2 linked regions of the Daphnia pulex genome follow. The protein of the gene in region 1 binds, or shares a complex with, the protein of each later gene. Links are inferred from orthologs where the notes say so. Each region holds a gene or a part of one and is shown in the gene's direction. Other genes may lie near its edges. The genes, in order: AP-2 complex subunit mu and P2X purinoceptor 4-like.

The links.
Region 2: the proteins of AP-2 complex subunit mu (region 1) and P2X purinoceptor 4-like are in contact, whole or in part, in a crystal structure (PDB 2BP5), measured with the Rattus norvegicus proteins. The link is inferred for Daphnia pulex from reciprocal best matches to the Homo sapiens genes AP2M1 and P2RX4. Residues at the interface, in NP_446289.1 of Rattus norvegicus: Phe174, Leu175, Asp176, Lys203, Asn217, Leu316, Ala317, Gln318, Lys319, Glu391, Val392, Pro393, Lys400, Val401, Arg402, Tyr403, Leu404, Ile419, Lys420, Trp421, Val422, Arg423, Tyr424, Ile425; in NP_113782.2 of Rattus norvegicus: Val375, Glu376, Asp377, Tyr378, Glu379, Gln380, Gly381, Leu382, Ser383, Gly384.

Annotation. Positions count from the first base shown.
Region 1 is NC_060028.1:9,468,422-9,472,914, reverse strand, and holds AP-2 complex subunit mu, read left to right. Parts: upstream 1-1,524; 5' UTR 1,525-1,683; intron 1,684-2,047; 5' UTR 2,048-2,074; coding exon 2,075-2,251; intron 2,252-2,321; coding exon 2,322-2,484; intron 2,485-2,554; coding exon 2,555-2,670; intron 2,671-2,742; coding exon 2,743-3,110; intron 3,111-3,175; coding exon 3,176-3,409; intron 3,410-3,483; coding exon 3,484-3,595; intron 3,596-3,657; coding exon 3,658-3,792; 3' UTR 3,793-4,414; downstream 4,415-4,493. Other genes in the region: polyhomeotic-proximal chromatin protein-like, read left to right, coding at 1-211, 280-694, 755-988.
Region 2 is NC_060017.1:6,889,101-6,893,622, forward strand, and holds P2X purinoceptor 4-like, read left to right. Parts: upstream 1-1,477; 5' UTR 1,478-1,500; intron 1,501-1,869; 5' UTR 1,870-1,870; coding exon 1,871-2,001; intron 2,002-2,071; coding exon 2,072-2,303; intron 2,304-2,364; coding exon 2,365-2,540; intron 2,541-2,610; coding exon 2,611-2,686; intron 2,687-2,755; coding exon 2,756-3,051; intron 3,052-3,176; coding exon 3,177-3,324; intron 3,325-3,384; coding exon 3,385-3,483; intron 3,484-3,566; coding exon 3,567-3,617; 3' UTR 3,618-3,789; downstream 3,790-4,522. Other genes in the region: uncharacterized protein LOC124196542, read right to left, coding at 4,086-4,522. UniProt on the Homo sapiens protein: ATP-gated nonselective transmembrane cation channel permeable to potassium, sodium and calcium. CTP, but not GTP or UTP, functions as a weak affinity agonist for P2RX4.

The DNA of each region.
Region 1 (4,493 bases):
AATTACATATGGAACAACCTACAGTGACCCATCAATCTCCACCTCTGGCACCCCCGCCTGCGCCGCCTACCACCACAACAACTAACGATCTTCAGCAGATGTCGACGCCTAAAGGAGCTACCATGGCCACATGCGAGGGATGTGGAAAAATGGATTTCATTTCCAAATTTCGTCGTTCAAAACGCTTTTGTTCCACAGCCTGCTCGAAAAAGTATGTCATTAACCCATTTATCTTTTGACTCTTTTAATTTTAACCGTGTTTGTTTACTTTTGAAATAGGTCTAACATAAATGCTTCGCCAGCAGTTGGACCCGTTCAGCCGAATCAACAGCAGCAGCAGCAGCAGGAAACTGTCTCGACAACGACTTGTGTCAACGGTCAGGGAGTAAAAGCAGCCGTTGGCGGTGGTGGTGGGCTACTGACCACTGCGACGTCAACCACTCACTCACCCGCTGCTGCTTCAACAACAGCCGAAGCCAACAACAAATTGGCTTCTCCAACGGCCGTGACAATTCCTCAGGGCCCAACTCCTCCAACGAGCTTTGCTCCCTCTGGAGATAAAGAAGATATCAGCTTGGATGCAGAGTTGTGTGCTCTGGCTGCTCAGCAATTGCGTTCTCCCACAGCCTCACTATCTCAAACACCAACTCACCAGCTCAAACCTGAGCCGAAAACTAATCCAGCCAAGTGGAGTGTAAGTTATTTATTGTTACGACTTAGATTGCACTGATAATTAAGACTTCTATTCATTCAGGTTACCGAGGTCGCGGATTTCGTGCGAAGTTTAACTGGATGTGCAGATTATGCCGAAGATTTCGCATTGCAGGAAATTGATGGCCAAGCGCTCATGTTATTGAAAGCCGATCATTTGATGTCTGCCATGTCGATGAAACTTGGGCCGGCATTGAAGATTTGCGCCAAGATTGATGCTATGCGTGGTGCATCCTCCTCTGAGGGCGGTAATAGCAATCCACAAAACGGAAATTAATGTGGGAAAAGTTCAATCCCCCATTTTTGTGTTGTTCTCCACCAGAAATCGATACGTGTTATGTTTGCCTCATTCAACTGTAATTTGACTCATTGTACTTTTCTGTCTATAGTTTGTTTATGGTTCACGATATGTTTCTTCGTCATTTCTCTCTACGTATTTTGCTTTGGTTATTCACCTTCATTACAGTAATTCTCATTTCGTATGACACATAGATCGTCAGTGAACAAATATATATATATAGATCATTCATACAAAATGTAATGCTCGGTGTAACAAAAGGCATTTAGGACAAAAATGCCATATAACCGCATATAACATTTTCGGAACGAAGAATTTTCGTTTTCAGTGTAATAAATTGACATTGTAATAATAATTTAAATATACATAAAAATCCATTGAATCAAACGTATTTCGTATTATTTTTAATGGTATATTTTTAAAAAATGCTTGAATCAGTCGAATTCTTGAAAATGATTTTAACCTTGAAAGTTCTACTTCCACCCGAGTATTTCAAATGTGGCGCTCCGAGCGCTTTACGGACTTCAGCTGTTTGGCCTGTGATATGGATTGACTTTCTTTCTTGTTAGCACTGTGTTACTGTCATTTCACTCTGACAGTACAAGTCTGCTATCAAACCAAATTGAATACTTATCCACAGTGGGAGAAATTGGGCTGGTAACAGTTACTTTGAGGTAAGAGGTTATGTTTTTTTCGTTGGTGTGGTTTTGAATTATGATGTTTAAAGCGACACAAGACCGTGATCTTCAGGAACGGTGGTTGTGTGTTGGGTAATGCGAAAGTTTATTGGTAGGCGTTGCTCGATATATCAGCTAGTCTACCGGTATTGAGACGGGATATCCTGTGAAGGCAATCAAAAGAACTCGTGCATGCATGGCAAAAAGATAATTCAACATTTCAACAAAAAGTTGCATAGCTTCATTTGCATACTCTAGTTCACAGAGCAAACCATCTACCAAAGAGTTCTTATGGACTTGTATACATGCTAAATGTCATTCTGCACGTTTGAAAAAAAAGTGTTATTTTCTTCATTCATAGGTTTATCACAAAGCTTCAAGAGTCAAGATGATTGGAGGCCTTTTCATCTACAATCACAAAGGAGAGGTCCTAATATCACGTGTGTACCGTGATGACATTGGCAGAAATGCAGTTGATGCTTTCCGAGTAAATGTCATCCATGCTAGGCAGCAAGTCAGATCACCTGTTACAAACATTGCCAGAACCTCCTTCTTCCATGTTAAGGTATTTTCTGATTTGCCATTTTGAAATGTTTTAATGTTCTCAGGATCAATAATCCTTTACCTTTTTTTAGCGTGCTAATATTTGGGTGGCAGCTGTCACCAAACAAAATGTCAATGCCTCTATGGTTTTCGAGTTTCTCTTGAAGGTCACTGACTGCATGCAGTCATACTTTGGTAAGGTATCAGAGGAAAACATCAAGAACAATTTTGTCCTCATTTACGAACTTTTGGATGGTATGTTGGGAAGCAAACACAATTTATTTGTTTGTGTGTTGTTCCTTATCCAATTTATTCATTCTATCAGAGATTCTTGATTTTGGCTATCCCCAAAATACCGACACGGGAGTGTTGAAGACGTTTATTACTCAGCAAGGTATTCGCACGCAAACCAAAGAAGAGCAGGCCCAGATTACCTCTCAGGTATAGATTCGCTCAAACAATTAATGCTCAATGATTGTTTTTAAAATATAATCATGTGGTTATGATTTCCAGGTGACAGGCCAAATCGGCTGGCGACGCGAAGGCATCAAGTACCGGCGAAACGAACTCTTCCTTGACGTATTGGAATACGTCAACCTTCTAATGTCGCCGCAGGGTCAAGTACTTTCAGCTCACGTGGCTGGCAAAGTAGTGATGAAATCCTACTTGTCAGGCATGCCCGAATGCAAGTTTGGAATCAACGATAAGATTATCATGGAGGCTAAGGGTAAACCTACTGCGGATGAATCCGCTGCTCGCACTGGCAAGACAGCTATTGTGATTGACGACTGTCAATTTCACCAGTGTGTCAAGTTGTCTAAATTCGAAACGGAGCATTCGATTAGCTTTATTCCCCCTGACGGAGAGTTTGAACTCATGAGGTTAGTCTGTTCTCCTTTGGTATATACATTGAATTTATGCTAACAAGTGTTATTTTCGATTGCAGGTACCGAACGACCAAGGACATTTCGTTACCTTTCCGAGTTATACCGTTGGTGCGCGAAGTGGGCCGGACAAAGATGGAAGTCAAAGTGGTTGTCAAGTCTAACTTCAAACCTTCGCTCCTGGCACAGAAAATCGAGATACGCATTCCAACGCCTCTCAATACATCGGGCGTTCAACTTTTGTGCATGAAAGGCAAAGCCAAGTACAAAGCTTCTGAGAACGCCATCGTTTGGAAGTCAGTTGCAAACTTTTCTTTAGATCAAACATTAGAGCTGTGTTGTTAAACTTGTGTGGTGTTGATGTTGACAGGATCAAACGGATGGGAGGTATGAAGGAATCACAACTTTCAGCTGAAATTGAGCTTTTGCAAACGGACACGAAAAAGAAGTGGACTCGACCCCCCATTTCCATGAACTTTGAGGTATTTTCGAGGATGATGTGTGTCGTGCATATCGATTGCTCTAATTTGGATTTCTATCATAGGTTCCGTTTGCACCATCGGGCTTTAAAGTTCGATATTTGAAAGTCTTTGAACCCAAGTTGAACTATTCTGATCACGACGTCATCAAATGGGTTCGCTACATCGGACGCAGCGGCCTCTACGAAACGCGTTGCTGAAGAAACGGACGATTCATTTTCGTTGGAAGATGAAGAAACTCGTCTCCAATTCTATTTCTCCTCTTCATGATTAACCCATCACTTACTACTCGTCCGAAAGAAGAAAAAAAAAGAAGAAAGATCTTTGTTAGTCTGTCTTATACTTAGGTCGATGTCGTTGTTGCATCTGCTGAGCGGTGCGAGAGAGTGGATGAATCCTGCTAATGGGAAAAGTAGCTCTGTCTGTTAAGTTTCTTTCATCCAGGATCAAAATTCTGTTTAGTTTAATATTCAAAAGCTTGTACTTCTCTCATCTACTTCTTTTCTCTTCCTTTTATTTTTTTTCATCCGTGTTGAGTGTTGAGTACGTCGTCGGAATTATTTTTCCTTCCCATCTATATCATTGTTAGTGCGCAGAGAGCGAAATTAACCCCCTTCTCCCCCTACCCCCAAAAAAAGAAAAAAAATATCCACAGAATAGTCGTCTTGACTGGATTGCGTTGTTACTGCTTGGATTAGCAGTTCGCGTTCTCTCTCTCTCTTTTTCTCTCTCTGTTTGTGCGCGTGATTTATATGTTACATGTTTTGATTTACCCAGTTTTTTTTTGTGTCTGTGCACATTACATTAGGGATGAGTAACTGAGCCTCCACCGTGGCTGTCACTTGAGTTGCTTGTTTTCTATCCTCTTCGTTTGTGAAGGGTGAGCCAGAAGCGAAATGTT
Region 2 (4,522 bases), on another chromosome or scaffold:
GCCCGCAGCCGTCTTGAGGGCAAACGGTCGTATCATCTTTTCAATGCGATCGAATATGTAATCCATGTTTCTTGGCCAGCACGTCTTGTACACATTGGTCACCAAATCATCGTGCATTTTACTCAGTTCCGTTTCCCAGAAAATGGGAACGAGGTGATTGGCGGATGGCGGCTCATCTGGATAAAGCTGACCCACCAAGTTGTTTGACATTGCGCACCTAATGTACTCATAGCGGTCGTTGCAGAATGAACAGATTGTCGTGTGCAATGGCCTGCCATTGAGTGAACTTCCGCATCGATGGAAATGCCCTAACATGGCAAATTGCTCGACCGTCTTGTACAGCAAAGTTGTGACGACTTCCAGTCGGTTGGGTGAATGCGGCGGATAAAGATTGATCAAGTCGACCACTCTTTGATTTTCGTAAAAGGCGCTTCGGAAGGCTTGGATAGACGGTTCAGTTGTTGTGGTCATTGGACATTCCGGCGGCGCACATCCACCGTTTGGACAATTGGTTGCAGTGGAATCCCAGCAATCGGTTCTAGACGGCCAGACTTGAGGTGTGCACGGTGGCTTTGACTGAGGGATGCAAGCGTCTGGATCTTTGATGCAGTCAAACGGACAGATGTTGTCGACGGGGCAAATGCCGGTTATTACAGCGACGTTGATTGCACTATTACTTGGAGTAAATCCTTCGATTGCAATTTTTTCATTTCCGTACGCAGAGTAGACCATGACTCCAGTGATCATCATCAAACCGGCATAAACAATTAAAATTAGAGTTAGAACCACTACGCCAGGTACTGGGTCCTGGGTTCTGTTACCGGAGGTCGAAGGCTGAGTCTCATCGTCTGTATCGTTTTCATCTTCGTTTTCGTCAAAATCTTGAGTAGTATTGGCTTCTTCGACATTTTCAGCAGTTCTCAATCGATTCATAGTTTCGTAAAAAATAGATGGACGAATCAATTTAAAATCATGAAAAATTTAAAGTTACAACTGTAACGGAACAGTTATATAAGCTCAGGTCGCAGAATTAGTGATTGCAAGTACTTTTTGCGACAGTTTTTCGGATAATGCAACTTTTATCATTGCTTTAACTGTTTAATTTATTCAAAATCGTAATTGTGTTCTTTTAACACATATATTTCATCATAGAAAAACACTATAAGTATTTTATAGAATTTTGTACAAAGTATTTTTATCATTACATCAGATAAAGACCACTGTGGTTACATCCTGGTGTTTCCCGGGAGGCCGGGTTATTGAATTCGTTTCAGGTACCGAATCGTCCGCGAGCCAGTACTAAATGTACCATCATGTAATGTGTAATAATTTTTTTTTTTTATTCTTTCTACAAAATAATAAATCCTAAATGTTTGAGAACATTTGATGTTTTTGCTAAAAAACCTAATGGAAAACCTGTATCCCATTGAAGTAAAACTTGGCAACAGCGTTAGTATAATCCAATTTTAAATACAGACGAAATTCAGTCAGTGTCAGACTGTGAGTGTCATCTCACTCAGTTTATTCAAAATTTGATATCTATTGGCAGATTATATTTTGCAACTGAAAATTGTACAAATTATAGATTAGATAGTTCATTTCCGTGTTCGCCAAGCACATCTTCATGTTTTTACATTCACATTTGACTAAAGTTCAGTTCTTGCTTCTTACTTTTGACATGAGTTGACATTTCCATTAAATCTCACAGTAGTAAAACGTGCCATTATTGGTATACAGAGTTTCTAGCCGAAATTCATGCCTTTTTAATACATAAGATTGTAAATTCCAAAGTTGCAACAGTTTCAATGACCTGCATTCAAAGTTTGATTTATATCCCACTCGATCAGTAAACATTTGTAATTTTTGCAGAATGGGCTGTTTCAAACCATTTTCTAATTTTCTATTTTGGTATGAAACACCAAAAGTAGTACATATTCGAAGTAAAAAGGTTGGAATACTGGGAAGATTTCTGCAGCTGTGTGTCCTTTCATACATTGTCGGGTAAAGCTTACTTTTGTAAAAATTCTAATTCCAGCAATCCATTAAAATTGTACTATTTTCCCCATTACAGATATGTTATGGTTTACAATAAAGGTTACCAAGAGTTTGCTAATGTTGAAAGTGCAGTTGTAACGAAAGTAAAAGGTGTTGCATTCACGAATACCAACAAAAACATTCCTGACATCTACAGAAGAATTTGGGATACTTCTGACTTGATTATACCTCCATCCGAAAATGACGCATTTTTCATCACAACGAATATTATCATTACACCAAATCAAACTAGGGGAGCCTGCAGTGAGGTGCTCAATGCTTTATCTTAAACTTGTGTATATTTTATTTAAAAAAATTGTGTATTTACAGGACCCAGATGTGTATGGAGCATTATGCGATTCACCACAGAATTGCATAAGGGGGCAATCTTTGCCGATCGGAAATGGAGCCATGACTGGGCGTTGCATTCCAAGTGATGCTAACTCAAGTGTTAACGTCTGTGAAATATTTGCCTGGTGTCCTATTGAACAAGATATTTTTCCTTTGTATGCAAACATTCAAATGTTTGTGAATCAGTTTATATGTTTGATTTTTAATTTTATTCATTCCTTACAGGGGAACAGATCGTCCATTGCTTGAAGAAACTGCCGATTTTACAGTTTTGATTAAAAACTTCATCGAATTTCCAACGGTATGTTATATTTGTTGCATACGTACGTCTTTTGTTTATTCTGACAATTACAATTATTTTTACAACAAGTTTGGGAAAACATTTCGTCGACGAAACATCATGGAAGATGCTAACAAAACCTATCTCCAGTCTTGTCATTATAATCAAGAAAGAGATCCCTTCTGCCCTGTGTTCCGAATAGAAGATATAGTCTCGTTTGCGGGAGAAAATTTTACACAACTAGCAATCCGCGGGGGAGTTATCGTCATCTCCATCGACTGGAATTGCAATCTTGATTTAGATTTTCTTGAATTTTGCAAACCTATTTACAGTTTCAGAAGAGCTGATGATCCAAATACCAACATCGCTCCTGGCTGGAATTTTAGGTAAGATATGTGAAACAATTTTTAATAATTTCAGAATATTCGAGATACCAACAACAGCAAAACGAAGTTTACTCTCTTTTGTGTTCATATTTAAACTGACAACCTTTTTCTTTATTTAAAATAAGACACGCCAATTATCACGAAGAGAACCGGCGAACGCTAGTCAAATCTTACGGTATTCGCTTCGTTATTGAGGTCCGAGGTCAGGGTAGGAAATTTAACATTCTTCCAACTATGTTGAATATTGGATCTGGACTAGCCCTTCTTGGAGTGGTAACAATTTTTTAATTTTTAAATGTAAAGTGGCTTTATAACACAGCATTATTCATACAGACAACTGTGGTTTGCGACTTCATCATTTTATATTTTACCAAAAAGCGCATGTTTTACAAAGGAGTAAAATACTTGCTGGTTGACGGCGAAGATCCAGAGGTAAATAAAAAGCTCTGTTTTTTTGTTTTCTAAATTTAACAAATCTGATTTTCTTCTTGACTTCTTCGCTTTACTTAACTTAGAGAGCACCACTTCAAACGGAAGCGGGAATGACAACTTATGGGAGCAATTGAAATAATATGCCTTACCTATTTTACATTCCGAATAATTTTCACATACTTTAAACAGAAGTTACTATTCTTTTAAGGGATCTAGTCAGAAATTCATGTTATTTTTAGCTGAATTCTAATATGAACCATATTTTTAAAACATACACAGGATACTAATATAATCTTTTAAACTAAATTGTTTCATAATCCTAACATGTTTTCCTGCAGTGCGAAGTTTGACTTTTCCTGAACTGGGTCTTAGTTCCGTGTGTTGTATTGTATATTTAATACTGGAAGATTGACGGATTGAGCTGCTTACCTTCACTTAAAGAACTTGATTTCCAAATTTATTAGACAAAATAACTGAAACAATTTTCATTCGTCATACATTAAACAAAAGAAAAATTTAATTGTTTACTAATGTAATCCAGATGTTCGTTTGGAATTTCTTCTGTTAATAGTAAGTTGATGAAGGCTCAAGACTCGCTTGTTTCAACGGCGACCGCCGGTTATATCCTTTCCAAGACAGATGTTAAGGAAGAAATTAACCAAGGCACGTCTAGGAATGTAACCGCACATATAGGGCGATGGAGACGGAATTGCAGAAGCCCAACTTCCACCAGAACCAGGTGCTTCTTTCAACATGCAGGTCCCACCTTTTAGGCCGGCGATGTGCGTAAAGTGGCTGCATTTCCTGTCGACGGCACAGCGAGATGAGCAATCAAATACTGTTTCTATACAAGTCAAAGTATAGAGTTCGTGGTCGCAGAAATCGCAATTGGTGCCGTATGTAACAGATGGAAGATTTGGGAATTTATTCGTTTTCGGCATATGAGGAGGGCACTGGTGATCGCAGTTGTGACACGATGAAGGTGGATGTATTGTTGGAGGCCTACAAGTAGGAGGACATCCGGTTGTACATGTGGAAC